4 linked regions of the Anolis sagrei genome follow. The protein of the gene in region 3 interacts with the protein of the main gene of each other region in a pairwise test. Links are inferred from orthologs where the notes say so. Each region holds a gene or a part of one and is shown on either strand. Other genes may lie near its edges.

The links.
Region 1: the proteins of SAT1 (region 3) and DMRT3 interact in binary tests that used the Homo sapiens proteins (3 or more experiments, as listed by UniProt). The two-hybrid records come from large-scale screens. The link is inferred for Anolis sagrei from reciprocal best matches to the Homo sapiens genes SAT1 and DMRT3.
Region 2: the proteins of SAT1 (region 3) and TACO1 interact in binary tests that used the Homo sapiens proteins (3 or more experiments, as listed by UniProt). The two-hybrid records come from large-scale screens. The link is inferred for Anolis sagrei from reciprocal best matches to the Homo sapiens genes SAT1 and TACO1.
Region 4: the proteins of SAT1 (region 3) and KCNA4 interact in binary tests that used the Homo sapiens proteins (3 or more experiments, as listed by UniProt). The link is inferred for Anolis sagrei from reciprocal best matches to the Homo sapiens genes SAT1 and KCNA4.

Annotation. Positions count from the first base shown.
Region 1 is NC_090022.1:221,028,435-221,036,125, forward strand, and holds the start of DMRT3 (doublesex- and mab-3-related transcription factor 3), read right to left. Parts: upstream 3,009-7,691; coding exon 2,501-3,008; intron 1-2,500. UniProt on the Homo sapiens protein: Probable transcription factor that plays a role in configuring the spinal circuits controlling stride in vertebrates.
Region 2 is NC_090026.1:17,631,932-17,639,127, reverse strand, and holds the start of TACO1 (translational activator of cytochrome c oxidase 1), read right to left. Parts: upstream 3,003-7,196; 5' UTR 2,935-3,002; intron 2,929-2,934; exon of another isoform or gene 2,533-2,928; intron 1,364-2,532; 5' UTR 1,330-1,363; coding exon 1,113-1,329; intron 1-1,112. UniProt on the Homo sapiens protein: Acts as a translational activator of mitochondrially-encoded cytochrome c oxidase 1.
Region 3 is NC_090023.1:86,790,833-86,798,283, forward strand, and holds the start of SAT1 (diamine acetyltransferase 1), read right to left. Parts: upstream 3,012-7,451; 5' UTR 2,825-3,011; coding exon 2,759-2,824; intron 1-2,758. UniProt on the Homo sapiens protein: Enzyme which catalyzes the acetylation of polyamines. Substrate specificity: norspermidine = spermidine >> spermine > N(1)-acetylspermine. This highly regulated enzyme allows a fine attenuation of the intracellular concentration of polyamines.
Region 4 is NC_090021.1:259,342,363-259,349,218, forward strand, and holds the start of KCNA4 (potassium voltage-gated channel subfamily A member 4), read left to right. Parts: upstream 1-3,845; 5' UTR 3,846-5,003; intron 5,004-6,032; 5' UTR 6,033-6,812; coding exon 6,813-6,856. UniProt on the Homo sapiens protein: Voltage-gated potassium channel that mediates transmembrane potassium transport in excitable membranes. Forms tetrameric potassium-selective channels through which potassium ions pass in accordance with their electrochemical gradient.

The sequences.
Region 1 (7,691 bases), on a different chromosome or scaffold from region 3:
GGAGATGAGCACCGCCTCCTTGAGTCCAACACGACGTCTAACCTCACCACACTGGAGAATGAATCCACTTTAAATCCGGTTGCAGAATTCTGGGGTTTGTAGTTTAGGGAGGAGCCTTGAACAGCCTCACTAAACTACAAACCTCAGGAGACAGCTTTAAAGTGGATTCATTCTCTAGTGTGTCAAGGGGGAAGCCTTTGAAAGGGTTTCTTTCCTATTTCTTTCCTATTTCTTTCCTATTGAAGGGCAAACCAGTTTCCTGTGTTCAGTAAGTTCCCCGTGGATCCTCCTGACCTCATGGGACAATCCGGATCCTCATCCGGCCTATCCAAAAATGGAGGCTAAGCAGATTCGGCCAACATTCAGAGGCCGGATCCTCATCCTTTTTCTACATCTTTTTTCCTGACAGCTGGACAGAGTCACTCAGGGGTCAGTTTATATGGAGGATGAAGTGGAACTGGCTCCCAAGCTACAGGCGCAACAGTTGTCGTTTCTTCAGGCGCCGCCGAGAAGCTGACTGTAAGGCCCCATCTGCACTGACCATTTAATGCAATTCGATGCTAATTTCCAATGGCCGTGGCGGGCAGATGCAAAAGAAAGCCCCTCGTACGCATCAGCTCTTTGTGTCACCCCCCTCCAGGCCTCAAGCTGGTTTCAGAATGTTCTATCTAATCATCTGTGCAAAAAAGCCACTTTACTTCTTTGCACACTGGTTCCATACTGGTTCGAAATGGCATAAAATGGTCAGTGTAGATAGGGCCTAAGTCTCTGAACAAGGGGGTTCTACACTTGCCCCCCCCCCGCCCCTATACACAAACACATAGCTGCTACATCTGAGGGGAAATAGACACCCCCATGACCCCATCTATATTGCGTATATGAGCTGGTGGAGTTGTTGTGTCAGCTCAGGTCCTCCCTCTTTAAAGATTTCAGCAGGGATCCCATCAGGTCCGCTGGCTTTGTTATTTTTTGTTGGCAGATGACATTGCTGACTTCTTCCAAACTAGGCAGTGCTGCAAGCTCATCCCTGGTTTGTTGTTGAGGGATTTGTGAGAGAACCTCTTCGGCCACATTGGAGCTGGGGTTCAGGAGGCTTTGGTAGTGTTCTTTTCAACTTAGTGCAATTTAATTTTGGTCCTTCAGGAGTTTGGTTCCATCTGATGAACGTAGAGGCTTAAAAATTCTGGCATAGACACTGAGAACTGGGAAGCCCTGGCCCTTGAGCGCTCCAGCTAGAGGTCAGTTGTGACCAGCAGTGCTGCAGAATTTGAAGAGGCACGAATGGAGGGTGAAAGAGAGAAACGTGCGAAGAGGAAGGTGCCTCAAGCTAACCCTGACCAAAACCAATGCCCTCACTGCGGGAGAAGATGCAGGTCAAGAATAGGACTCCACAGTCACCTACGGATCCACAAGAATACTGATCCTGGAAGACTATCCTACTCGGCCAAGGAGGACTCGCCTAAGTAAGTAAGTAAGTAAGTATTGCAGTATAGTGCAGTTTGAACTTTTGTTTTGTGTCAGGAGCGACTTGAGAAACTGCAAGTCCGCTAGGATGTTTTGATGCATGGGGAGCTAGAGCTGACAGAGGAAGCTCAACCCGATCTTCCCGGATTTGAACCGCTGACCTATCGGATAGCAGATGGAGCCCCCGGTGGCGCAGTAGGTTAAACCTTTGTGTCGGCAGGACTAAAGACCGACAGCTCGCAGGCTCGAATCCAGGGAGAGCGTGGATGAGCTCCCTCTGTCAGCTCCAGCTCCTCATGCGGGGACATGAGAGAAGCTTCCCACAAGGATGGTAACACATCAAAACATCCAGGCGTCCCCTGGACAACTTCCTTGCAGACGGCCAATTCTCTCACACCAGAAGTGACTTGCAGTTTCCCAAGTCGCTCCTGACACGAAATAAAAATATACTGTATATGGCAGTGCAGATCCAGGCTATATATTCCTTCCTTACAGCTAAAGAGTCCCATCATTTCCGAGGAGAATTCAGTGGGACAAGTAGCAACAGTTGTCCCTTCCTTCTTCGGTTGCTTGGAAGCTGCAAAGAGCCAGGAGGAGCTGTTTCCAAGTCCCTCGAACGAGGGAACTCACTACACATGCTTATGAGCACTGTCGCTTAAACGGCTTTCGCCAGTTCGAGGACTTCAGTTGAAGAAACGCTTCTGTCTAAACTGATAAAGAGATGAGAATCTACTTGACCCTAAACCTGCCACATCTGGGGAGGGAGGGGGGACTAGATCAGGTCTGAGCAAACTTGGGCCCTCTTTCTAGGTGTTTTGGACTTCAACTCCCACCATCCCTAACAGCCTCAAGCCCTTTCCCACCAAGGAATGGTGGGAGTTGAAGTCCAAAACATCCGGAGGGTCGAAGTTGGCCCATGCCTGGACTAGATCTTCCTGCTCTATCTCCCCTTCCTTACAGCAGGAGACTCTCTTTCCTTCCAAGGGGGGAATTCAATGGGAATTCAAAGAACCACCCCCTCGCTCCCTTTCCTTACCTGTTTTGGGCATCTGGGGCTGTAGGGCTGCGGCGTTGGCAGCATTGGCGGCGTTGGGGCTCTGCTCGGAGGCCCATCGCAGGGCCATCTCGACGTTGGCGGGGGTGCGGGTGGGGTGTCCCTCTGCGGGGAGGACCAGGAGAGCTCCTGCTGCTGCGGGGGGCGGCGGCGGCGGGGTGGGGGAGGCCGCGGATACGGAGGCCGCGGATGCGGGGCCCCCCGGGGGCATGGCCCGCAGGGACTCCGGGAGGAGGCTCTCGAGGCTCTCGTTGGCCTGCTGCCTGCGGAGGGCCACCTGGGCGGCCATGACGCGCTGCCGCTCGATGATGAGGATGCACTTCTCGCAGGTGCAGTCCTTGAAGCGGCAGTAGCGCTTGTGGCCCTTGAGCCAGGAGAGCACGCCGTGGTTGCGGCAGCGCGCGCACTTGGGGGTCCGCTGCAAAGGCGCCCGCGAGGGCTGAGAGACCGGGGCCCCCATGTACAGGTAGGGAGAGCCGTAGCCGTTCATGGCCGCAGCCCGAGAGGTGGAGGAGGAGGAGGGAAAAGGGAGCCCACGCCGCCAGGGACGCCCCCGCAGGCGCCTCAGCCACGACTGGCCTGCCCGGACGCCTTCCCCGCCTCTCCCCTCCGATGCTCCTCCTCCTCCTCTTCTCCCTCTCTGCTCCGCTCGCCCCCAAGACTCTCCCGCCCTTTCTCGCTCTGTAGAAATGGGGGGGGGGGGGGGGAGAGAGGAGAGAGAGAGAGATCACAGCGAGGGTGGGGGGAGGCGATTGCCCTGCCCCAACTCGCCCCCTCCTTCCACCAAGCAGATGGACTTGCCCATTGCGCCCCCAGCTTAAAAATGCGAAGGGGAGGAGAAGCCATTATGTCAAGGTGGGGGGGAGGGTGTGGGTACCCCTTCTGCAGAGTTAGAATTTCCTCCTGCAGCGCCTGTAGGCAAAGTGGTTTCTTGGTTCGACTCTTTGCCCAAAGGACTACAGGACTTGGTACTCTATCTTTCTATCCAACGAGTGCTGTATGTATATATGTACACATATATACCTGTGACTTACCTACCTATCTATCTAGCCATCTATGTATCCACCTAGCTAGGTGTGTCTGCATAATGTATATCTATCCATCCAGGCCCGTAGCTAGGATTTCGTTTCGGGGGGGGGGGGGGCTGAATTTTTTTCAGGGGGGGGTTGGGGGGGCTGAGTTTCGGGGGGGGGGGCTGAGTCTGAGTGAAAGAGGGTCTACCCTAGCAAACCTTTTGTATCATTACCCCAATACCCCCATGCATATGGGATATATTGAGTAGGGTGATCAGATCATGATATGAATAAACATAACGGTTTAAATAATGCACCAGTAAGGCCTTTTCGCGAACCACCATGAGAATTTCGGGGGGGGGGGGGGGCTGAAGCCCCCCGAGCCCCCCCCCCCCGCTACATGCCTGTATCCATCCATCCAGTATGCGTGCATAATATATCTATCCATCTATCTATCCACCATCCAGTTAGGTAAGTGTGTGCGTGTGTGCATAATATCTATATACCTACCTACCATCTATCCATCGAGTTAGGTGTGTATGTGTGCATATATATATCCATCTATCTATCATCTATCCACCCATCCAGTTAGGTAAGTGTGTGTGTGCATAATATCTATGTATCTATCTACCATCCATCCAATTAGGTAAGAGTGTGTGCGCGATAGCTACCTACCTACCTACCTACCTACCTACCTACCTACCATCTATCCATTCAGTTAGGTAAGTATTTGTGTGCATGCACACCTAATATCTAGCTACCATCTATCATTCCAGTTAGGTAAGTGTGTGTGTGTGTGTGTATAATATCTAGCTACCATCTATTCATTCCGTTAAGAGTGTGTGTGTGTGTGTTTGTATATGCATAATATCTACCTACCTACCATCTATCCATCCATCCAGTTGGGTAAGTGTGTGTGTATGTGTATAATATCTACCTACCTACCTACCATCTATCCATCCAGTTAGGTAAGTGTGTGTGTGTGTGCATAATATCTCCCTACCATCTATTCATTCAGTTAGGTAAGTGTGTGTGTGTTTGTGTATGCGTAATATCTACCTACCTACCTACCTACCAACCATCTATCCATCCACCCAGTTAGATAAGTGTGTGCGCTTGCGTGTGCATATCTAGCTACCATCTATCCATCCAGTTAGGTAAGTGTGTGTGTGTGTGTGTGTGTGTGCGCGCATAATATCTATCTACCTACCTACCTACCTACCATCTATCCATCCAGTTAAGTAAGTGTGTGTGTGTGTGTGTGTGCATAATAACTCGCTACCATCCATTCATTCAGTTAGGTAAGTGTGTGTGTGTGTGTGTGTGTGTGTGTTTGTGTATGCATAATATCTAGCTATCTACATACCTACCATCTATCCATCCAGTTAGGTAAGTGTGTGTGTGTGTAATATCTGTCTATCTATCTATCGACCTACCTACCTACCATCTATCCATCCACCTAGTTAGATAAGTGTGTGTGTGCGTGTGTGTGTGTGTGTGTGCATAATATCTATCTATCTACCACCTATCTATTCATTCATTTAGGTAAGTGTGTGTGTGTGTTTATGTGTCCATAATATCTATCTACCATCTATTCATCCAGTTAGGTAAGTGTGCTTATGTACATAATATCTATTTACCTACCTATCTACCTACCTATCCACCATGTATCCATCCAGTTAGGTGTGTTTGTGTACATAATATCTATCTATCTATCTATCTATCTATCTATCTATCTATCTATCTATCTATCTATCTATCTATCTATCTATCTATCTATCCACCCATCCGGTTAGGTGTACGTGTATAATATCTGTCAGTCCATCCATCCATCTATAACTGTATTCTCAATTCGCTTTAGACAAGATAAATAAGATCCATCTAGCCAGCTAGGTAAGGGTGTGTGTGCATAATATCTATCTAGCCATCCATCCATCTAGCAGCTATCTGGCTGGAGTAATGGATAGGTGAATAGATGGATGGATGGCTAGACAGACATTATGCACGCACGCCTAACTAGTTAGCTAGATGGATGGATGGATGGATGGCTGTCTAGATAGATAGACACTCCTAACAGAAGTTGACTCTGCAGTGCCAGTCCTGCCACACTCTTACCAGGCGCTTCAGCCAAAACAGAACTCTCCCAGCCCATTGATTGAAGAACACTTGAAATGGTCCTCGTGTGGGGCTTGCCCCGTGTCAGGTCTTTTCTGACGATATTTGTACTTCAGAACAAAGCCTCCTCAACGGGTCTTGCTCCCGGGCTGTCTTGCAAGTGTCCCAGTCTCCTCCTGCACCTGCGGGCTCGCCAAGAAAGGGGGGAAGAGAAGGGGTGCCAAGCCATTGGCTCCATGTCGCCTAGGACTCGGGGCCTAGGGACTGGATTAGGAGGCCACTCGGGGCAGTTTCCACCCAGCGCGCCCTTCCTTTCTGGTATGTTGCGACTTTGCTGCAAAGCTCGCGGCCCTTTACAAGAGGAGAGGCTGCCCGGTTTGTTCAGCCAAGGCCAATTACTCTCCAGTGGGATGCTGTGGAATAGTCCTCCTCCCCGGTCTCGCGTGAATTCCGCACTGTGTTTTTTGAGTGCTAGAGAAGAGGAGAAAGCCTTGTGCATTTGAGTTTAATGCCTGTTCCTCTGAGAAAATAAGGCTCTGTAGAAACTGCTTTCTCATTTGATCCCCTTTCTCACAAGAATGGTGATCTTGTACAAATATTTGAATAGCGATTGCGCTCATTACTCCTGCGCTCATGCCTCCAGCACAATACAGAATGGCCTTTGGAAAACTATATTTAAGGAGTTTTTGTTTATTTTTCAACAGGGATATCTTCTAAAACGGTACTATTGCTTTATTCGAATAGGGAAAAACAAACAAACCAACCTTTCCCTTTAATTAAAGAAAAACTTTGTTTTCTCTTTTTGGTCGTGGTTTTTTAATGGGCTGCTTCGGTTTTACGGACGTTGCCAATCAGCTTCTGGCATTTCCCGCCAAAATAGGAATGATGTGAGAAAATAGATCTCGTCGCCCCTCATTCCTAAACACCGAGATGAACACACACACACATATATATACACACACATACACACCAACAGAGAGAGGGGAGAGGAGAGCATGGTTTGGTAGGGCTGATACTTAAGTGGGGTATATTTGGCATCGATCTTTCCAAATACAAGTCGTAGAAGTGGTATTTGAGATCACAGATTTAAACTTGATGAGTGGGATAAGCGTCAAGGAAATAAAGGGAAGGAAATGATAAGAGACGAAGGCCAGCTAAACGCCTATTAAATGAAAGGGGGGGAAACTATTTAATTTGTTGTTCCTCTAACTACATAATATTAGTTGTTGTTAATTAATAAATATAATAGCAATAACTACTACAACAATAATAAAACTTTATTTCTAGCCCTACCTATGTCCCCAAAAGGAGATAAATTGCTAACTGACATCGACTTACGACGACCCTATGAATAAGGCTGATTCTACACCCGCCATATAGTACAGATTGAACTGCATTATATGCTCAGTGTAAAACCACATAAGGTAGTTTGAACTCAGTTGAAGTGCATTGTATGGTTCTACCAGGCCCGTAGCCAGGATTTCGTTTCGGGGGGGGGGGGCTGAATTTTTTTCAGGGGGGGTTTCGGGGGGGGGCTGAGTTTCGGGGGAAGGCTGAGTCTGAGTGAAAGAGGGTCTAGCCTAGCAAACCTTTTGTATCATTACCCCAATACCCCCATGCATATGGGATATATTGAGTATGGTGATCAGATCATGATATGAATAAACATAACAGTTTAAATAATGCACCATTAAGGCCTTTTCGCGAACCACCATGAAAATTTCGGGGGGGGGCTGAAGCCCCCCGAGCCCCCCCCCCCCCCGGCTACATGCCTGGGTTCTACACAACAAGAATGTAATTTAAGTTGCACCGAAGTGCATTATATTGTTCTACACAACAATAATGTAGTTTGAGCTGCGTTGAAGTCCATTGTATGGTTCTACACAACACTAACGTAGTTTGAATTGCATTGAAGTGCATTATATGGTTCTAAGTAAGGTAAAGGTACGAAGAGCCGCGTTGTCCGTAGACCCCTCCAAGGTCGTGTGACCGGCATGACTTCATAGAACACCGTTATCTTCTCGCCGGAGCGGTATCTATTGATC
Region 2 (7,196 bases), on a different chromosome or scaffold from region 3:
CACTGAAGGTGACTAACAATCACACATATTGACTCAGGATGTCTGGGAGTGTGGTAGAGCCTCCTTCTCTGGAGTTTTTTTAAGCAGAGGCTGGATGGCCAACTGTTTGGATGGCTTTGGTTGTGTGTTCCTGCATGGCAGAGGGTCCTTGGGTTCTATTTCAATTCAATGATTCTATGATAGTGCATCTCTACAGTATAGGACAGGCACAGGCAAACTTGGGTCCTCCAGATGTTTTGGACTTCAATTCCCATAATTCCTCACAGCAGTGGTTCTCAACCTTCATAACGCCGCAATCCCTTAATACAGTTCCTCATGTTATGGTGACCCCCAACCATAAAATTATTTCTATTGCTACTTCATAACTGTAATTTTGCTAGTGTTATTAATAGTCATGTAAATATCTGATATGCAGGATGTATTTTCATTCGCTGGACCAAATTTGGCACAAATACCTGATACGCCCAAATCTGAGTACTGGTGGGGTTGAGGTATTGATTTTGTCATTTGGGAGTTGTAGTCGCTGGGATTTATAGTTAATCTACAATCAAAAAGAATTCTGAACACCGCCAACAATGGAATTGAACCAAGCTTGGCACACAGAACTCCCATGACCAACAGAAAATAATGGAAGGGTTTGGAGGGCATTGACCTTGAGTTTTGGAGTTGTAGTTCACCTACATCCATAGAGCACTGTGGACTCAAACACTGATGGATCTGGTCCAAACTTGGCACAAATACTCAATATGCCTAAATGTGAACACTGGTAGACTTTGGGGAAAACAGACCTTGACATTTGGAAGTTGTAGTTGCTGTAGTTACAATCAAAGAGCATTCTGAACCCCACCAACAATAGAATTGGGCCAGACTTCCCACACACAACCCCTATGACCAACAGAAAATACCGTGTTTTCTGATGGTCTTCAGTAACCTCTCTGAAACCCCCCTCGCAATCCCCCAGGCGTCCTGACCCCAGGTTGAGAAATGCTACCTAACAGTAGGCTATTAGGAATTGTGGGAGTTGAAGTCCAAAACACCTGGAGGGCCCAAGTTTGCCCGTGCCTGGTATAGAAGCAATACAGTTTGACACCATCCCAATGCTGCCACTGTACCTTTGACTGCCAGTCGGATCATCATGGTGAGCTTCTGGAAAACGCGGGCCCGAGCCAGATCTTTTGGGCCTTTCACATTCTTGACCTTGGACCATTTGTTGTGTCCAGCAAACGCAGCCCAGGAGGCGTGGATGGGCCGACTGGGGTGCTCCAGGAAGGTAAAAAGATGTTGCCGGAATAAGACATTCGCCCGTGTGAAAGAGAGGCCCACCGACATGGCCTAGGAGGGACAAAGAGGAGCCTCCTTGGGGCTAACATTGAAATAAAACATGAAGGAAATGTCTACTGTTAAATCTCTAGATCAGTATTTCTCAACCTTCCTAATGCCGTGACACTTTCTCATGTTGAGGTGACCCTCAACCATAACATTATTTTCATTGCTGCTTCATAACAGTAATTTTGCTACTGTTATGAACTGTAATGCAGGATCCAATATGCAGGATATATTTTCATTCACTGGACCAAATTTGGCACAAATACCCAAAACACCCAAATTTGAATACTACTCGGATTGGGTACGGGATTGATTATATCATTTGGGAGTTGTAGTTGTTTTCATTTATAGTTTGCCTACAATCGAAGAGCATTCTGAACTTCACCAATGATGGAATTGAACCAAACTTGGCACACAGAACTCGCATGATCAACAGAAAATACTGGAAGGGTATGATGGGCATTGACCTTGAGTTTTGGCATTGTAGTTCACCTACATCCAGAGAGCACTGGGGACTCAAACAATGATGGATCTGGACCAAACTTGGCACGGATACTCAATATGCCCAAGTGTGAACACTGGTGGCATTTCGGGAAAATAGACATTGACAATTGGGAGTTGTAGTTGCTGGGATTTATAGTTCAATTACAATCAAAGAGCATTCTGAACCACACCAATGATAGAATTGGACCAAACTTCCCATGCTGAACCCCCATGACCAACCGAAAATACTGTATTTTCTGATGTTCTTTGGTGACCCCTCTGACACCTCTTCGCGACCCCCCTAGGGGTCCCGACCCCCAGGTTGAGAACCACTGCTCTAGAAAGACAATATACAACATACAATATAATCTATTTATACACATTTCTAATTTTTTTAATCATCTACATAGGGCCTAAGTAGACTAAAGGAGCCCCAGGTAGCACAATGAGTTAAACCGCAGTTCAAATCCAGGGAGTGGAGTGAGCTCCCACTGTTAGCCCCAGCTTCTGCCAACCTAGCAGTTCAAAAACATGCAAATGTGAGTAGATCAATAGGTACTGCTCTAGCAGGAAGGTAACAGCGATCCATGCAGTCATGCTGGCCACATGACCTTGAAGGCATCTACGGACAACGCTGGCTCTTTGGCTTTGAAATTAAGATGTGCACCAACCCCCAGATTCAGATACAACTGAACTTAATTTCAAGGGGAAACCTGTACCTACGTAAGTAGACTAAAAGCCTCAGATCCCATCTGATCTTGGAAGCTAAGCAGGGTCCACCTTGGTTAAAAGTTGGATGGGAGACGACCAATGAAAACCTCTAGGTTGGCAGAGGAATGGTATGGAATCCTGGGAGTTGTATTTGGCTGAGGCAGCAGCACTCTTTGGCAGGGAAGGTTTAAATTCCTTGTAAAACTACAACTCCCAGGATTCAATTGCTTTGAGCCATGCCAAATAAAGTAGTGTTAAACTGCATTAATTCTACAATGTAGATGCTCAGGCCTGTGTTATGATCAAAACATTGACACTAGGAGGTGAGTCCCAATTGGGAATGGTTAGGTTTCCATCAAATGCAGCAATGCATTGAAAAGACCCCCAACTTCCACAGAGGTGCCCAGAACCTACCTACACACAACGGCGCATGCGTCCTAGAGTTCCGCAGACGTCATCCCGGCAGCCCCGCCCATTAGGGGGCGGGGCTTTGTAGTGTTTACTCTTTAGTTCCCGCGATACCAGAAGCTGTTCTCATGATGTCATTTTCTATTTCTTTTTTCTTTGTACTTTTATTGATTTCGTTATTATTTTTAAAATATCTTCCAATAAAACTTAACTTTGAATATGTTTTGATGGATTTTAACTGTGATTTTTTTAGTGCTATTTGTGTTTGATTCTGTTTCAAAGTTTGTGTATGTGTATATTTTAAATTGTATACTAATGCTTTTATGGCAAGTTGCTTTGAGTCCCCTTTGGGGAGATAAATATAATATTATTATATTAAAAATACTAAAATTGGAGATATAGGAAAGGAATGCTGAAACTGGACATGAGTCTGAAGCTTTAAAATATAAAAGAATAGAACCAACCTGGGCACAGCATATTATTTGAGAATACAGAACTGCTGGAGCGCTCTAACAACCACCAGACTACACAGAGAAGCCACTAAAATCCATAAGCATATGGACAATTTCAACAGAGAAGAAAACCATGAAAATGAATAAAATCTGGCTACCAGTATTTTAAAAAAACCTCTAGAATCAGGACAGTAAACAGAGCAACGCTCAAAAAACAGGGGAATTCCAGACAAGAATAAATCAGGGCCAGCTAATACCTCCCAACAAAGGATCCCCAGGCAGCAACCAGCCAGGCTTTGAAACTGCAAGGCCATTTAATGCTAATCAAGGTGGACAATTGCAACATTCACACTTGCCTTAAGCAGACAAGAGTCCTTTCTTTCACCCTGGACATTCCACAAACCCCACTTGCCTAGTTTCCAACAGACCTCACAACCTCTGAGGATGCCTGTTATAGATGTGGGTGAAAAGTCAGGAGTTAATGCTTCTGAAACATAGCCACACAGCCTGGAAAACTCACTAATTCAAAATAGATGGACTTTGCCCTATTTGTCTACAAATAATTTATCTTACTGTTTTTTAAAAAAAATAGAGATATATTAGATGACTAGCCAATGCCTGCCACGTGTTGCTGTGGCCCAGTCTGTGTATATGTGTTTTGTGTATGTATATATGTGTATATATGTGGTTTTGCACATGAATTGTCATGTTGTTTTTTTGTTTTTGGCTTTTAAAGTCTCTTCTACTGTGTTTTTTTAGTGTTTTATGAGTGATGGTCACTTGTTGGTCTGATAGATGTATTGTGTCCAAATTTGGTGTCAATTCGCCCAGTCGTTTTTGAGTTATGTTAATCCCACAAATTAACATTAAATTTTTATTTATATAGATAACTAGCCATCCCCTGCCACGCGTTGCTGTGGCCCAGTCAGGTGATCTGGAAAATAAAATAATGAGAAAGTGTTGGTTTATAATATATGTCATTTCTTTATGCTTGTGGGTAAACAGTATTTCTTATTGTTTCCTTGTCAGTGATGATGTGGAGAGTGTCTGGTTTGCCTACTCTGGAATATGCAACATATCATAGTCCTTCTTTAGGGGGTCCCTTTTAAATCTATGAAACTATATCTGTGTGTGTGTGTGAATCATATCTATCTATCTATCTATCTATGTCTATGGCTGGATGGCTCTTTGTCAGGAGGGCTCCGGTTACATTTTCTTGCCCTGGTGAAGGGTGCTAGACTGGATGGTCTTAAGTATTTTCTGTTGGTCATGGGGGTTTTGTGTGGGAAGTTGGCCCCAATTCCTGTCGTTTGTGGGATTCAGAATGCTCTTTGATTGTAGGTGAACTATAAATCCCAGTAACTACAACTTCCAAATGTGAAGCTCTATTTCCCCCAAACTCTGTTTGTGTGCATATTTGGGCATATGGAATATTCGTGCCAAATTTGGTCCAGATCCATCATTGTTCGAGTCCACAGTCATCTTTGGATGTGGGTGAACTACAAAACCAAAGGGCACTGCCCACCAAATCCTTCCAGTATTTTCTGTTGGTCATGGGAGAAGTGTGCCAAGTTTGGTTCAGTTCCATCGTTGGTGGGATTCAGAATGTTCTTTGATTGTAGGTGAACTATAAATCTCAGCAACTACAACTCCCAAATGTCAACATTCTATTTTCCCCAAACTCCACCAGTGTTCACATTTGGGCATATTGAATATTCTTGTAGAGTTTGGTCCAGATCCATCATTGTTAGAGTCCACAGTCATTTTTGTATGTGGGTGTACTACAACTCCAAAACCAAAGGGCACTGCCCACCAAACCCTTCCAGTTTTTTCTGTTGGTCATGGGAGAACTGTGTGCCAAGTTTGGTTCAGTTCCATCGTTGGTGGAATTCAGAATGCTCTTTGATTGTAGGTGAACTATAAATCCCAGCAACTACAACTCCCAAATGACAAAATCAAAAGATTTTGAGTGAAGGACATACATTTGGGTTGTTAGGTGTATGCTGTCCAAATTTGATGTCAATTGGCCCATTGGTTTTTGAGTTCTGTTAATCATTACAAACATTACATTTTTTATTTATATAGTTTAATAATTAATTAATAGATTAAAATATATATTTCTTTTTGCATAAGTACTTTCTCTTCCCGTTTATACCTAGAAACATAGGTCTATCATTGCCCCTACAATAGGAATGCTGGAACTGGAGATTTCTCTAATGATGCATCTTAAAATAGTTATTCCTACTTGTGAGCCAACTGCGCATGCGTAAAGTGTAATAACATGCGGGGAGGAGGGCAGAGCGATGGCAACGGAAACTCGTCCCCTTGTGCCTTTCAGAGTGACAGCCCTACCAGCTTATCGCCTTCGCCCTCTGGAGGGCTTAAGCCCGCCTCCTCCAGATACCTGCCGTTGGAAACAGTTGCAGAACAGGATCTGCCTGCTTCAGGAAGTGGACTGTGGGAAAAGAGAGGCAGGGAGTGAAATCCAAGGGGCAGATGAGGAAAGGAAGGTAAGATCAGGGCTGGGGGGCTGCCTGGGTTGATCCCAAGTGATCCCAGGATCTCTGCCCTTCATTTTAGGGAAGATCCATGGGAGACTTGTGGGCCAGATTTAGGAAAGACACTAAAGATGCATCTACACCAGGTATGGGCAAACTTGGGCCCTCCAGGTGTTTTGGACTTCAACTCCCACAATTCCTAACAGCCGGTAGGCTGTTAGGAATTGTGGGAGTTGAAGTCCAAAACACCTGGAGGGTCCAAGTTTGCACATACCTAGTATAGACTATGGAATAATTTTCCAGAAGAGATCTGACAGCTTGACAAGCTGTCAAAATATGAACAGAATTAAAGACCACTTTAATTTGACAGCTCTTGAACTGTCATTGCTCAATGCTATATGGTATTCTCTGTTTATCTGAAAGGAAAAGGCAGAAAGTCTTGAGGCAGCTTGTGAGACTAACCAATTAATTTTAGCAGGGGTTTTGAAGTCTTAACTCTTTTGACACATTGTTTGATTGACCAAAGCAGGAAGCTCAGATCCGCTTTGTAGATCAATGTTTTTCAACTTTCCTAATGCCGCAACCCCGCAATACAGTTCCTCATGTTGTAGTGACCCACAACCATAAAATTATTTTCATTGCTACTTCATAACTGTAATTTTGCTACTGTTATAAATCGTAATGTAAATATCCGATATCCTTGGAAGGGCTCAGAATGGTCTTTGATTGTAGGTGAACTATAAATCCCAGCAACTACAACTCCCAAATGTCAAGGTCTGTTTCCCCCAAACTCCACCAGTGTCTGATATGCATTATGTATTTTCATTCACTGGACCAAATTTGGCACAAATACCCAATACACCCAAATTGGAATACTGGTGGGGTTGGGGGGGGGGGATTGGTTTTGTCATTTGGGAGTTGTAGTTTTTGGGATTTATAGCTCACCTACAAACAAAGAGCATTCTGAACTCCACCAACGAATTGAACCAAACACGGCACACAGAACTCCCATGACAATATACATAAGCATAATAGAAATCCTGGAATTAGAGGTTTGTCTTATGATGTATCTTAAAATATTTATTGCTTCCCTAGTAGCTACATCCAGAGATTTCTCAACCTTTCTCAACCTTCCTAATGCCGTGACCAGTTAATGCAGTTCCTCGTGTTGTGGGGTTTTTTTTTTTGTTTTGTTTTGTTGTGTCAGGAGCGACTTGAGAAACTGCAAGTCGCTTCTGGTGTGAGAGAATTGGCCATCTGCAAGGACGCTGCCCAGGGGATGCCCAGATGATTTGATGTTTTTTTTATCATCCTTGTG
Region 3 (7,451 bases):
TGGAACTTTGGTCTCTGTTCTGTGTGATTAATGTGTATTTTACAGAAATGCTTTGATCTGTGTCTTCTATGGAACTGAATTTTAATGTGTGTTTGTAGAATCTTTATAGTATTTGTTTGTTTTTAACTATGCTGTGACCCATCTTGAGCAGTGCTGAGAAGAGGATATGAAATAAAATTATTATTTTTCCAATAACTTGAGCTGCTTGTAATGTGAAGGGGGGAAAAAATCACCCAACGAATTAAGTTAAACAAACCTAGACTCAAGTTCACATTATGAAATGTTCCCTGTATGAAAGTCTATCTCCCCTGATCCTGAATCTGTTTGAGCCATATTTAGAAGAAGTCTGCCAAAGGTGAGATCTAATCTTTTACAAGTAGGCCATCTTGTCGTTCAACACAGTTCAAGGACACGAACTGTTGACTCGACAGGAACTGTTGACTAATTTTCCATGACGTTTAGCTTTGCAAAGAGGGTGGAGGCAGTACAGCCTCTTTCACAAGAGCAGGGAGGGGTTATTTTGTCAACGCAGAGGAGGCCAAAGTATCTGGGCCCAACAAGAAAAGCTGTTTATGGAACAAACAGTTCTCCATTTGTACACGTGTACCTTTGCACTCAGCATTCTGCAAGCAAGGCATTTTCAGTACAGCTGGCCTTCCATATCCACAGATTCAATCACCCACAGATTGAAAATGTATTTTTAAAAAAGAATCCAAAAAGGATAGCTTGATCTAGCCATTTTATTCAAGGAACACCATTACAGGAGAGATCAAGGGCCTACTTTACCAGCAGATGGGTTATGTGACTCCAGAGCTTACAGAAACATTGACCTGTAAGTGATATCACTGATGCCATCTACACAGACCATTTGATGCAGTTCAAAGTTCACTGTAAAGCAGCCAGCCTGGTATAGAACTCCCACAAATGTGTGCAAATAGCACTTGTGTGGAAGATATAGATGCAATAACTATAACAAACTCTTTCCCCCATCAATCCTGTTCCTTTTCTTCAGTGATATAGCAGATAATTATAGAATTCTAATCTACGAACCAGAGCTCCACCACCTCTAACCCCACCTTTACTTTCCTTGTGAGTGCGAATAATATTGTTTTTATTTTTTAATATTAAAAAAAGCTATATTAAAGGTAAAAGTTTCCCCTGACATTAAGTCTAGTCGTGTTTGACTCTGCAGGGTTGTGCTCATCTCCATTTTGGAGCCGGCATTGTCCGTGGACATCTCCAAGGTCATGCGGCCAGCATGACTGCATGGAGCTTCCTGTAGAAGTGGTATCTATTGATACCACTTCTCACTTTTGCATGTTTTCGAAATGCTAGTCTGGAAAAAGCTGGGGTTAATAGCAGGAGCTCATCCCACTCCCCAAATTCGAACCACCAACCTTTCGTTGAGCAGCTCAATGGTTTAACCCGCTACAACACCAGGGGCCCCTAATAAAAGTCATGGACACACCAAAAAAAGAGAGAAAAAGGAGATAAGAAAAAAGTATGCTAAAGAAAGTCCTTAATACTCTTTAACACTCTGTGATTTGTGTAATCACCCATCCAGGCCTCAAACTGGTTCCAGCATTTTCTATTCAGCCATCTGCGCTTCCAATACCAGTTTGGAACGGCATTAAATGCAAGTATAGATGGGGTCCAAGTTTCTCTGGGTCTAATGGGGCTCACTTCCAAGCAACTAGACATTCAAATGAAGAATGAGGAAGAGAACCACCCTCTCTAGCTGATACCAATACTTCCTTAAAGCAACTATTGAGGTGAGGGAAGTAAAAGGAGAACAAAGCCCTTCCCTTTTTGTTGTTTTTCAAAAGCAGTTTCCTTAGATGTGGGTCACAAGGCATCTGGAGTTAGCAGATTAAAGGGGGGGAAAAGGCAAATCAGCCATGTCAGCACTCATGATTGGGAGGAGATAACCTTGGACTCCAGCTCAAACTTTGACTTTACTTTCTGGCCACATATTTAGAAAAAAAAAACCTGTATCATCATAGCTGAGAATGGATGGGATTTGGGTTTTTGTAAGTCTTCGTGACAAGTTTCAGGTCTTGTAGTCACCAAAAAGCAAGCACCCCTTTTTCTGTGTATATATCAGGAACGGGTAAACTTTGGCCCTCCAGGTGTTTTGGACTTCAACTCCCACAATTCCTAACAGCCTGCTGGCTGTTAGGAATTGTGGGAGTTGAAGTCCAAAACACCTGGAGGGCCAAAGTTTACCAATGCCCCATATATATATATATATATATATATATATATATATATGTATGTATCAAAAATAAAAAAGAGGCTAAATGGGTATACTTGGGGTTTAACTTTATTATGTTGGGTGGATTCTTGTCTAATGTTTATTCTCATTGTTTTAATGTTTATTGCTTGTTTTATGAGTTTTAATTATTGTTGTATTTGTTATGCTGTTGTTTTATTTATGTATTGGGCCCCGGCCTCTTGTAAGCCGCACCGAGTCCTTCGGGAGATATGAACGGGGTATAAATAAAGGTTTATTATTATTATTATTACATCTGTCTTTATTGATTAGTTCCTGTCTGTCTGTCTACATCAGTGGTTCTCCACCTGTGGGTCCCCAGATGTTTTGGCCTTCAACTCCCAGAAATCCTAACAGCTGGTAAGCAGGCTGGGATTTCTGGGAGTTGTAGGCCAAAACACCTGGGAATTCTCAGGTTACGAACCGCTGACCTACACTGGTGTAGGCCTTCCGCTCCCTTCCGGGCCAGGCGAGAAGGCCAGATACCTTTATGAGGCGCAGGATGTCGGCGCAGTCCTCAGGCCGCGCGGCGCGGATAACGAACGAGTCCATTTCCGACGGCGTTTCCCTTTGCGTCCCCCGCCTCGATTGAGTCCCCGATAGTTGAAGAGCAGGAGGAGCAGTTTCTTCATTCGCGTCCTGGGCGCAGCGGCGGCGAGACACGGGTAGTCAGGCGGACAGCATCCCGTAACGTGGGCTTAGGAAGGAAAACAAAGCGACCGAATCCGGAAGTCTCTGTGCTGGGAACGTGAGGAGGGCCGCCGAATATATAGGCTGCTGCGGCCCCGCCCACTCGCCACCCTGTCCAATCAGCGCCAGGCAGCCTCCCCTCTCTTCTCGCGCACCGCCCCTGACGTCATCCTTCTAGGAAATGACTCACTCGGGCGGGAGGCGGAAGGCAAGGCGGCGCCTAGGGTGAGGTTGCCCCCTCCTGGGGAAGCCCTTTGCCTTCAACTACACTGAAGAAGTGATACAGGGCTCTTCCACACAACTGGACCAAATCCCACATTCTCTGCTTTGAACTGGAATATAGGGCAGTGTGGACTCAAATAACCCAGTTCAAAGCAGATATTGTGGGGTTTTCTGCCTTGATATTCTGGGTTATAGGGCTGTGTGGAAGGGCCCTGGGCCCTTCCACACAGCCCTATAACCCAGAATATCAAGGCAGAAAACCCCACAATATCTGCTTTGAACTGGGTTATCTGAGTCCACACCCAGATAATGTGGGATATCCTACCTTGATATTCTAGGATATAGGGCTGTGTGGAAGGGCCCTAATACTATACTCCATGCTACAAACTCATGTCTGGACTTGATTAATACTATAATTCAAAATACAAATGTGACTTAATGTAACACTGTTTTACTGTTTAATAAAAAGAGTTTTAAAAAGTATTCTTTGTCCCCTTCCACACAGCTGAATAAAATCCCACATTTTCTGCTTTGAACCTGGATATATGGCAGTATGGATTCAGATTGAAGCAGGTATTGCGGGATTTTCTGCCTTGATATTCGGGGTTATATGGCTGTGTGGAAAGGCCCTTAGGGTCTATAATACTCCTGTGGCTAATAATAATTCCAAAGACATTTGAATTTGCCATTCTATATAAGTCACTCTAAATGCTTTGGATGATACATGTTTTGAATTTTGTTTTATTTTAATTTGGAATTGGAATGCCTGTATTGATATGTCAGATACAAGATTTTATTATTTATCGTATCAGGGGCAAACCAAGGGTATAGTTGTGATGTATTTGAGAAAACACAATGTTTAAAAGCTTGGCATTATATTAAATGTCCTTTGACCAGTAACTGGCCACTTGGAGTGCCTCTGGTTTTGCTATAAGACAGGAGTCTTCAAACTAAGGCCCGGGGGCCAGATACATCCCTCCAAGGTCAATTACCCAGCCCTCGCTCAGAGTCAACCTAAGTCTGAAATGACTTGAAAGCACACAACAACAACAACAATCCTATCTCATCAGCCAATTTTTTTTTTGTCGTGTCAGGAGCAAGTCGCTTCTGGTGTGAGAGAATTGGCCGTCTGCAAGGACGTTGCCCAGGGGACCCCTGGATGATTTGATGTTTTTATCATTCTTGTGGAAGGCTTCTCTCATATCCCCACAAGGGAGCTGGAGCTGATAGAGGGAGCTCATCCGCCTCTCCCTAGATTCGAACCTGCGACCTGTCGGTCTTTAATCCTGCCGGCACAGGGGCTTAACCCACTGCGCCACCGGGGGCTCCTTCCCATTGAAATACTAATAAGTTTATATTTGTTAAAATTGTTCTTCATTTTATTGTATTGTTTTAAAGTGTTTTTTGCACTACAAATAAGATATATGCAGTGTGCATAAGAATTCATTCATGTTTTTTTCCCAAATTATAATTCGGCCTCCCAACAGTTTGAGGACCCCTGCTATAAGACTTTCTTATAGCAACACCAGATAAGGGATACTTAACCTGTACAACTTTATTGTTTCATTCTTAAACCGATAGTAAGACACGAGACTTCAGATCTACAAGCAGCTTAATGAAAATGTATAACCAGTGATTCACTGACCATCTGGATCATGTTCAGCGACATATTAGCTTTAGTTAGCTTTTCTCAAAAATAAAATGTGCTGAGCCTGAACAAATCTTTTCCGGTTGTCCTCAGCTGAGAAATAAAAGATCATACCAGCATTTTTCGCATTCTAAGACACTGATAATTGTAAGACACACACTAGTTTTATTACCACCAACAGAAAAAAAGGTTTGTTAATATATTTAAAACACCCTTGAGTCTAGGGGCCCTTCCACACAGCTATGTAACCCAGAATATCAAGGCAGAAAATCCCACAATATCTGTTTTGAACTGGATTATATGAGTCCAATTCAAAGATGATCCAGTTCAAAGCAGATAATCTGGATTTTATACAGCAGTGCAGAAGGGGCTTGGGGTCAGATCTTTGGATATAGGGCAGTGTAGATCTAATCTAGGTGAGCCAATTAACACACATTTAGGTGTCACAACAGGACTTTCCTGTTTCAGATAAACCAGGACAGTTTCACTGAGAACGATTTCATGGGTTAAACTGGCCACACGCCCACAAAGAATGCTTAATCCTCTCTACAAGCAGGCTATTGCCCCTGGATGACTTTACAGGAGGCTCCACCCCACGTCTTTCAAAATACAATTCATAGCAAAGGACTGAATCACCATACTGTGTAACGTACATAAGTGGCAATTTCCATTTCTTGTTCAGGATATTTATTCCTAATTCTGAGAAGTGAAAAAACAGTCCTCAGATACGTTTCTCTAAATTTTTATTTCCTGCCTGTACTAATGTAAGGGTTATCTAATCACAGTCAAAGATGTATAAGGTGAGAAAATACCAAAGATATAAATCCAGGGAGCACACCACTCCACTGTTGTGCCAGCTTCACTGGCTGCCTGTCCACTTCCGAGCACAATTCAGAGTGCTGGTCTTGGCCTATAAAGCCCTATACGGTTCTGGCCCAGCTTACTTGTCCGAATGTATCTCCCTTTACATCCCGCCTCATAGCTTAAGATCATCCGGGGAGGCCCTGCTCTCGGTCCCGCCAGCCTTGCAAAGGGACAAGGCCTTCTCGGCGGTGGCCCTATGCCTGTGGAACTCGCTCCCCAGCAAGATCAGGTTGGCTTCTTCCCTCCTTTCTTTTTAGGAAGAAGGTTAAGTCATGGCTCTGAGACCAGGCCTTTAGAAAGCAAGCATGACAGCACCTTGGATGTTGAACCGGACTGAACTTGGCTATATGGTTGATTACAATGTTTTTAACATGTTTTATCTTAATGTTTTATTTACTATTTTAAACTGTTGCTATTTGTGCTTATATTTGTATTGTACTGAGGCTTCGAATTGTGGCCGGTTTGTAAGCCACCCAGAGTCCCCCCTCGGAGGTTGAGAAAAGTGCAATAGAAATATTGGAAATAAATAATAATAAATAAATCAAATTAAGCTGTTATTGATAGACTGAACTGCCCAAGACATTTTGCCAACTGAGACAGAAGACAAACTGGGCTTAGCACAGCAGACAAAACCACTGTGCTGCGGAAACATCCCGCTGATCAAAAGGTCAGCAGTTTGATCCCGGGGCAGGGTTGAGCACCCACCGTCAGCCCCAGCTCACCTGCCCACCTAGCAGATTGAAAGCAGAAATGCGAGTAGATAAATAGGTACCGTTTTTAGTGGGGACATAATAAAAACCCCTTAAAGACATCATTGGGAGGTAGCTCCTCGGCATGGAAGATGGAGTGACAGCACCCTCCATGGCCAGAGTCGAGCACACCCTCCAGGTTGCTGGAAATAAGATGGGGAAAAACTGCCTTTTCCTCTGTTGTGTTGTCTGCCCTTGTTAGTTGTATAATCAGCATTTAATGCTTGCCATGTGTGTGTTCTGTAAGCTGCTCTAAGTTCCCTTCAGGGTGAGAAGAGTGGGATATAAATACTGTAAATAAATAAATACTGTCCTGTTACCAAATCCATTCAAAATAGAGTGCCCAAGCAGGATGGGCCAAACACAGTTTCTATTTTGGTGCCTCAAATGTAAAGATATATAACTGAATATCAAACTCAGGATTGTCCACATCATTGTATTACATGTTTCTATGTACGATTGTGAAGATAGTAATATCACTTGAAATAATGGTGAATGAAAGAGGAGAGTTCTGCAGATATCAATAACTGCCAAAAACAAAAACAAAAGAACCTAGAGTTGATCAAACCTGAACACTCCCTAGAAGCCATGAAGACAGTTATGCTTTGGGGGATAGCACGAGAAGATATGAATTCTTAGACAGGACATAATGCGTGGCAATAGGAAAAGGAGACTATGGATGCACCTACACTGTGCAATTAATGCAGTTTAACATCACATCACACTTGAGAAAAAAATCCACTTTAAATCCAGTTTCTGCCTCCTGCAGAATTCCGGGGTTTGTAGTTTAGTGAGGCTGTTAAAGGCCCTTCCCTAAACTACAAAGCCCAGAATTTTGCAGCAGGCAGAAACCGGATTATATGTGGATTTTTTCTCTAGTGTGATGCGGCCCTATTAGAATCATAGAATTGGAAGAGATTTCGTAGGCCATCCAGTCCAACCCAAAACCAAGGAGCAGGAAACTTCAACTGCCATGGCTCAATGCTATGGAATCATGGGAGTTGTA
Region 4 (6,856 bases), on a different chromosome or scaffold from region 3:
GCATCTACAATGCACCTGCAGATAGATTCTATAGTAGAATGGATGCAATTTGACACCACTTTAACTCCAATGTCTCAATGCTATGGATTCTTAGTAGTAGTAGCTTGGTGAGATGCTAAAAACCTGTGTTTGAAAAAGTTTAGCCTAGTTTAATTTTGGCCCCTCCCTACTACAGTGCTGTGCATGTCTGTTGTAGGCAGTTACCTTCAGATGATGCATGTAAGGTGCAGAATCTAGAAGGCTTGGGTCTCACTCAGTGCTGGATTTAGGACAAATGAGGCCATGTGCTAGTTCAGTTAGGAGGGTCCTTCCTTGGGTCCTGAAGGAGGTTGGCCCAGCAGGCCTCCACTGACTGCTTCGTGTCACACTCCCATAGACTATCAACTCTATCATTATGCCTGGAATGGCTCAGAAACTGTCAATATTTGTTTTAGCAGAAAGGGGTCCCTGTACTTCTACACCACTAAACACAATGGCAAATCTGGGACTGGTCCCACCACGTGGATCCAAAATAGGTCTTCACGGCCACTTATGAACCCACTGTTTTGTCTCTACTCTTGGACGACAGTCATACCTGGAAAGGAGTGATCACCCATGAAGATATGCAAGTGTTCGGGGGGGGGGGGGGGGAGCCCTGGAACATGAAACACTTTTGGTCACAAGCATTTCAGACAAAAGAGGCACAGTGTTGCTGGGAGTTTTCCAGGCTGTATGGCCATGTTCCAGAAGCATTTTCTCCTGATGTTTTGTCCACATCTATGGCAGGCATCCTCAGAGGTTGAAGACTCTATTGGAAACTAGGCAAGTGAGGTATATATATCTGTGGAATGATGTCCAGGGTGGGAGAAAGGACTCTTGTCCGCTTGAGGCAGATGTGAATGTCTAAAATCAGGACAGTTAATAAAGAACAACACTAAAAAAGCAGGGGAATTCCATGCAAAAATCAATCAAGGCCACCTAACACCTCCCAACAAAGGATTTCCCTAGGCAGCAACTAGACAGTCTTTGAAGCTACAAGGTCATTAAAATGCTAATCAAGGTGGCCAATTGCAACCGTCACAATTTCCTCAAGCAGACAAGAGTTCTTTCTCATCCTGGACATTCCACAGATATATAAACCTCACTTGCCTGGTGCCCCTGGTGGGTTTAACCCTTGTCCTGGCAGGACTGCTGACCAATAGGTCACTGGTTTGAATCCAGGGAGAGCAGGCTGAGCCCCCTCTGCAGATGGCCAATTCTCTCACACCTGAAGTGACTTGCAGTTTCTCAAGTGGCTCCTGACACACACACACAAACCTCTTGCCTAGTTTCCACCAGACCCCTCAACACCAGGACAGAATGCTTCTGGAACATGGCCATACAGCCCAGAGAACTCTCAGAAACCCAGTGATTCTAGCCATGAAAGCCTTGAGGCCTCATCACACTAGACTAGAGAATGAATCCACTTCATGGACTGGGCTGTGGCACAGCTAGTTAGTAGCCAGCTGCATTAAATCATTACTGACCAAGAGGTCATGAGTTTGAAGCCAGCCTAGGGTGAGAAGGGCGGAATATATGGGCCGGAGGTTAAGCACAGCTGGGAAAACATCAGTAATTATAAGATCTATCAACCAAAAGGTTGCAAGTTCGAAGCCCTGGGTTGGTGTGAGCTGCCAACTGTTAGCCTAGCTCATTGTTTACCTAAGCAATTTGAAAACAGCTTTAGCTGTGATTAGAGAAATTAGGTACCGCTAAAAGTGGGGGAGGTGTTTTATGATGCCATAAAGAAATAAGATCAGAAAATGCTGGGCGACCAAAAGAAGGAAGTCCTAATGGCTCTTCGTCATAGAGGATAGAGCAACAGCATCCCCTGGGCTTGAGCTCAACCTCCATGGCACCTCCTTCTGTTCTGTGTATTGTCTATACAAAGTGGCATTGAATGTTTGCCGTGTATGTGTACTGTGATCTGCCCTGAGTCCCCTTTGGGGTGAGAAGGGTGGAATATAAAGGAAGTGTTGTTGTTCATTCGTTTAGTCACTTCCGACTCTTTGTGACCTCATGAACCAGCCCACGCCAGAGCTCCCTGTCAGCCATCACCACCCCCAGCTCTCTCAAGGTCAAGCCAGTCACTTCAAGGATGCCATCTATCCATCTTGCCCTTGGTTGGCCCCTCTTCCTTTTTCCTTCCATTTTCCCCAGCATCACTGTCTTCTCTAAGCTTTCCTTTCTTCTCATGATGTGGCCAAAGTACTTCATCTTTGTCTCTACTATCCGTCCCTCCAATGAGCAGTCAGGCTTTTTTTTCTGAAGTATGGACTGGCTTGATCTTCTCTTGGTCCAAGGCACTCTCAGAATTTTCCTCCAACACCACAGTTCAAAAGCATCTATCTTCCTTCGCTCAGCCTTCCCTATGGTCTAGCTCTCACATCCATAGGTGACTATGGGGAATACCATTGCTTTAACTATGTGGATCTTCATTGTCAGTGAGAAGTCTCTACTCTTCACTATTTTATTGGTCATTGCTCTCCTCCCAAGAAGTAAGCGTCTTCTGATTTTCTGGCCACAGTCTGCATCTGCAGTAATCTTTGCACCTAGAAATACAAAGTTTGTCACTGCCTCCATGTTTTCCCTCTCTATTTCCCACTTGTCAATCATTCTTGTTGCCACAATCTTGGTTTTTTTGATGTTTAGCTGCAAACCGGCTTTTGTGCTTTCTTCTTTCATCTTGATTAGAGGCTCCTCAGCTCCTCCTCGCTTTCGGCCATCAAAGTGGTATCAGCTGCATATCTAAGGTTTGTTTGTTTGTTAACTGTTTTTATCTGAAATATGTGGCCTGCCCATTGTCATCACTACCATGTTTGTGTTTATTGGAATGTTTATTTTATTTTAATGTCATTTTGATAATGTTGTTGTTGTTTGTTTTATATGCTTTGATTTTATTGCTTTATTGATTTTATTGCCCCATGTAAGCCGCTCCGAGTCCCATTGGGGAGATGGTGGCGGGGTAGAAATAAAGTTTTGATTGATTGATTGATTGATAAGGTTGCTAATGTTTTTTCCAGCAATTTTAACCCCAGCCTTGCATTTGTCAAGCCCTGCACATCGCATGACGTATTCTGCATGAAAGGTGAATAGGTTGGGTGAGAGTATACAATCTTGCTGTTCGCCTTTATTATTATTATTATTATTAATAATAATAATAATATAAATACTGTAAATAAGCAATAAATAAATAAATAAATAAATACGGTTGCCGCGTCCTGCAGAACTCTGTGGTTTGTAGTTTAGGAAGGAGCCTTTAACAGCCTCACTAAACTACAACCCGCAGAATTCTGCAGGAGGCAGAAACCGGATTTGAAGTGGATCCATTCTCTAATGCAGGGGTCCTCAAACTAAGGCCCAGGGGCTGGATGTGGCCCTCCAAGGTCTTTTACCCGGCCTTTGTTCAGGGTCAACGACTTGAAAGCACACAACAACAACAACAATCCTATCTCATCAGCCAAAAGTAGGCCTACATTTCCCATTGAAATACTAATAATTTTATATTTGTTGAAATTGTTCTTCATTTTAATTATTGTATTGTTTTAAGTATTTTTTGCACTACAAATAAGATATGTGCAGCGTGCATAGGAATTCATTCATTTTTTTTCCAAATTATAATCCGGCCCTCCAACAGTTTGAGGGACTGTGACCTGGCCCTATGTTTAAACAGTTTGTGGACCCCTGCTCTAGTGTGATGAGAGGACCAGACAAAGGGGGCACAATCTGTACGTGGGGCGGTGCTGGGGTTGGGGAGGAAAAGGGTGGCAGGTGCTGAGGAGGCGGCTGACCGCTAGGGGCCGATGGAGAGCTAGCAAACCTGCGGAATCAATCAGACCGAGCCCCGCCGTTCTGTCCATCAGCGGATGCGTAAACACAACTGCGACTTGGGCAGGCGACTCCTTCTCCCGAGCGAAGGTGTATCGGGGAAAGGGAGGGAGGGAGGGAGAGAGAGAGGGAGAGGGCGACGAGCGGGCGAGAGAGAGAGAGAGAGAGAGAGAGAGAGAGAGAGAGAGAGGCCAGGCGCAACAGAGCGCGCAAAGCAGCGTAGGCGCAGGAGGCGGCACGGGAGCATCCTAAGAAGAGGAGGAGGAGGAGGAGGAGGAAGCAGCAGCAGGAGCAGCGCCTTCAAGGAGCGGCCCCCTCCCTCCGGCTCCCCGAACGGCCCCCTCCCTCCCTCCCTCCCACCCTGACCAAGATTATTCCGAGGAGAAGAGGAGGCACGCGCGGAAACAGAGCGGCAGCCACGACAATAACAACCAAAACAACAGCAACAACAAGTGGACGCGATTGCCTCGGGAGCGAAATCGGGCGAAGCGAGCCACCGCAAGGCAGCGGGGAAGGAGGAGGCAGGAGGGGACGGCCGCAAGGCAGCGCGCGGCGTGGGTCTGCGAGGCGCGTCTCCTCTTTTCCTGCCAGTAGCAACAGCCAGCTTTCCTCGGGGAGAGAGGAGCGGGGAGAGAGGAGGAGGAGGAGGAGGAGGAGGAGGGCGCCTTCCCCAAGGCCTTGGCTGGCAACAACTGCTTGGCAGAGGCGCGCGCGAGGGAGAGAGGCCGGTCCCCGGGCCACGAGCAGCTCCCGCCCATCTCGCCCAGTCCAGTCTGCTTCTGCGGGAGGCGGCGGCGGCGTTGGATGCCTTCTTTCCCTCAGGGATGGCTATGGGGTCAAGCACAGCGGGAAAGGCAAGACGAAGTGAGCTGCGGCGGGAGCGTGCCCGGAATGCCCCCTAGGACCAACCCTGGGGGTGGCCGTGCCCTGGCTTGCCTTCCCTTCCAGCCCGCGGCTCACACACCAAGGAGGCCCAGCCAAGCCGTCGCCCCTCTGCCTCGCTCCCCTCCTTCCTCCTCCTCCTCCTCCTCCTGAGCGCCGCACCTGTGAAAACAGGTTGCTCAGAACAGCCTCCCCTCCCTCTCTCCCCCCCCCCCCCCGCCCGTTCTTCTCTCGCTTTGCAGATCCTCAACGCTGCCTTTTCTCTGCCTACCGCGGTAAGTAGACAGGGATGGTCCTCCCTCGAAGCTTAGGGGCTATTTTAGATCTCGTTTTAAGGAGATTTTGTCTCTGAAGCATGCTTGTTTTTTTAAAGCCTCAATATGGGTAGTTCGCATGTGGGAGGCTCCGTTGCCTGGCTGCTTGATTCCTCATGCAGCACCACCTCTTCGCTCTAATATTGCCTCATGCTGCCCGTTTCTGTGCTTTTTCTCTCTCTCTCCTCCCTGGAGAAATGTGGTCATCCTTCCCAAAGACAGGTCTTGATTTGAGAAAGTGTATGATGAGCCTTCTCTCCCCACAGTGTGCTTACTGTCATCATGTTGATACATGTATTAAGGGCAGCGCTTTGTTCTAAAAGGATTCTGGGTGGCATTTGTCCATGTTTTTCTCTTGATTATATGTACGCATCCATTAATTTAAAGCCACGGTTGATCACTAACCTACAACCGTTTCCTACCAATCCAGGAGAGCCTTTTTAAATCCATTATACAGGCATAGAGAGCACAGTTGGGCTATTCCTGCAAATATCTCACTGTAAACACACACTGCAACAGAGGCAGACCAGATCTCTCTCTAGTGATAAAAAGCACTGTGTGTGAAACAGTGAATGCAGACAGAGAGCACAACAAGCTGTGCACCTCATTATGTTATAGTCATCACATCTATTCTGCATTCATGCTCATGTTGTTGTTCACAAGTAGATCTCTATATATATTATGTAATGCAGAGATACCTGCATTTCACAGTCTAGGTTTGTATTCAAAATCATCTCCCTAGATATTAAAAAACTCTGAGTGAGATGTGGGTGTGTGTATGCTTGCTTATTCTTCTAACTACATCTATATATAGTCAGATGAACATAGACACAGAAAGATTGTGTGTGCCGCATGTGGGTGCACAATGACAGGGAATGATGAGTAGTGCAAGTAGGCAAATCTGAGCCTTTGATGTGAATTACCTTAATCTGGATTATGATCAATCCTTTTCCCCATCCCCATTTTTTTGTTTTCCTGTATGTACCTCAGGTTACACATGACTGCTGCACAGGACTAACCGAAAGGTGCTCCATTCCTTTCTCTCCAATGGGAAACAAAGAACCAGTGTTTCAACCATCTCCTCCTCATCCACCTTCTCTCTCCATAATTGCTGTTCCAGCCAATGCTTTGCCCAGTTTGAAACACTGTTGAGAGACTGACGGATGTGGTTATGCTAAGACCTCCTCACTGTGTAAACAAAATGAAAACTGGAAGCTCCTTCAACTTTCTAAAGAAATTAATCAGCAATCTCATTTCTAAGCTGTTGTGAGAATACTGGCTGTTTTGCACGTGATTATGCGAGAACTCAAGAGCTTTTGTGAGGGGGAAAAACCTGTGCCCCATCTTCATTTGCTTAAGTGCATCGTTTGCATGATGCAAAACATTCAACACCATGAACTCAGAGCTATGGATTTTTCATAAAGCTCTGAAGAAAGACCTAGCCAATGTGTTTTCACAGATAAAAGGACACCATCCAGATATATTGTTTGGCTACTTCAGAAGATTCTGTACTGTACCTGTGAAAATATTCTTGAGGAATCTTTGTGTCAAAATCCTCTGGACCCTACCTAAGAAATGGAACTCTTGCCTCTGAGAAATCTATGGTGTGAAAACTCAAGTCTGCTGCTAGTCTGAGACAACACTTTTTCGAAAACATGGCTTTCCAAACTTTAGTGGTCTTGTCATTCTCATGCAAAGCACCCAGTGATAAAGGCTGAAAAAACAGACATCTTTTTTCCTTCTTAGTCTTCAAAAACAAGCACATACAACATGGAGGTTGCAATGGTAAGCGCAGAGAGCTCTGGGTGCAATAG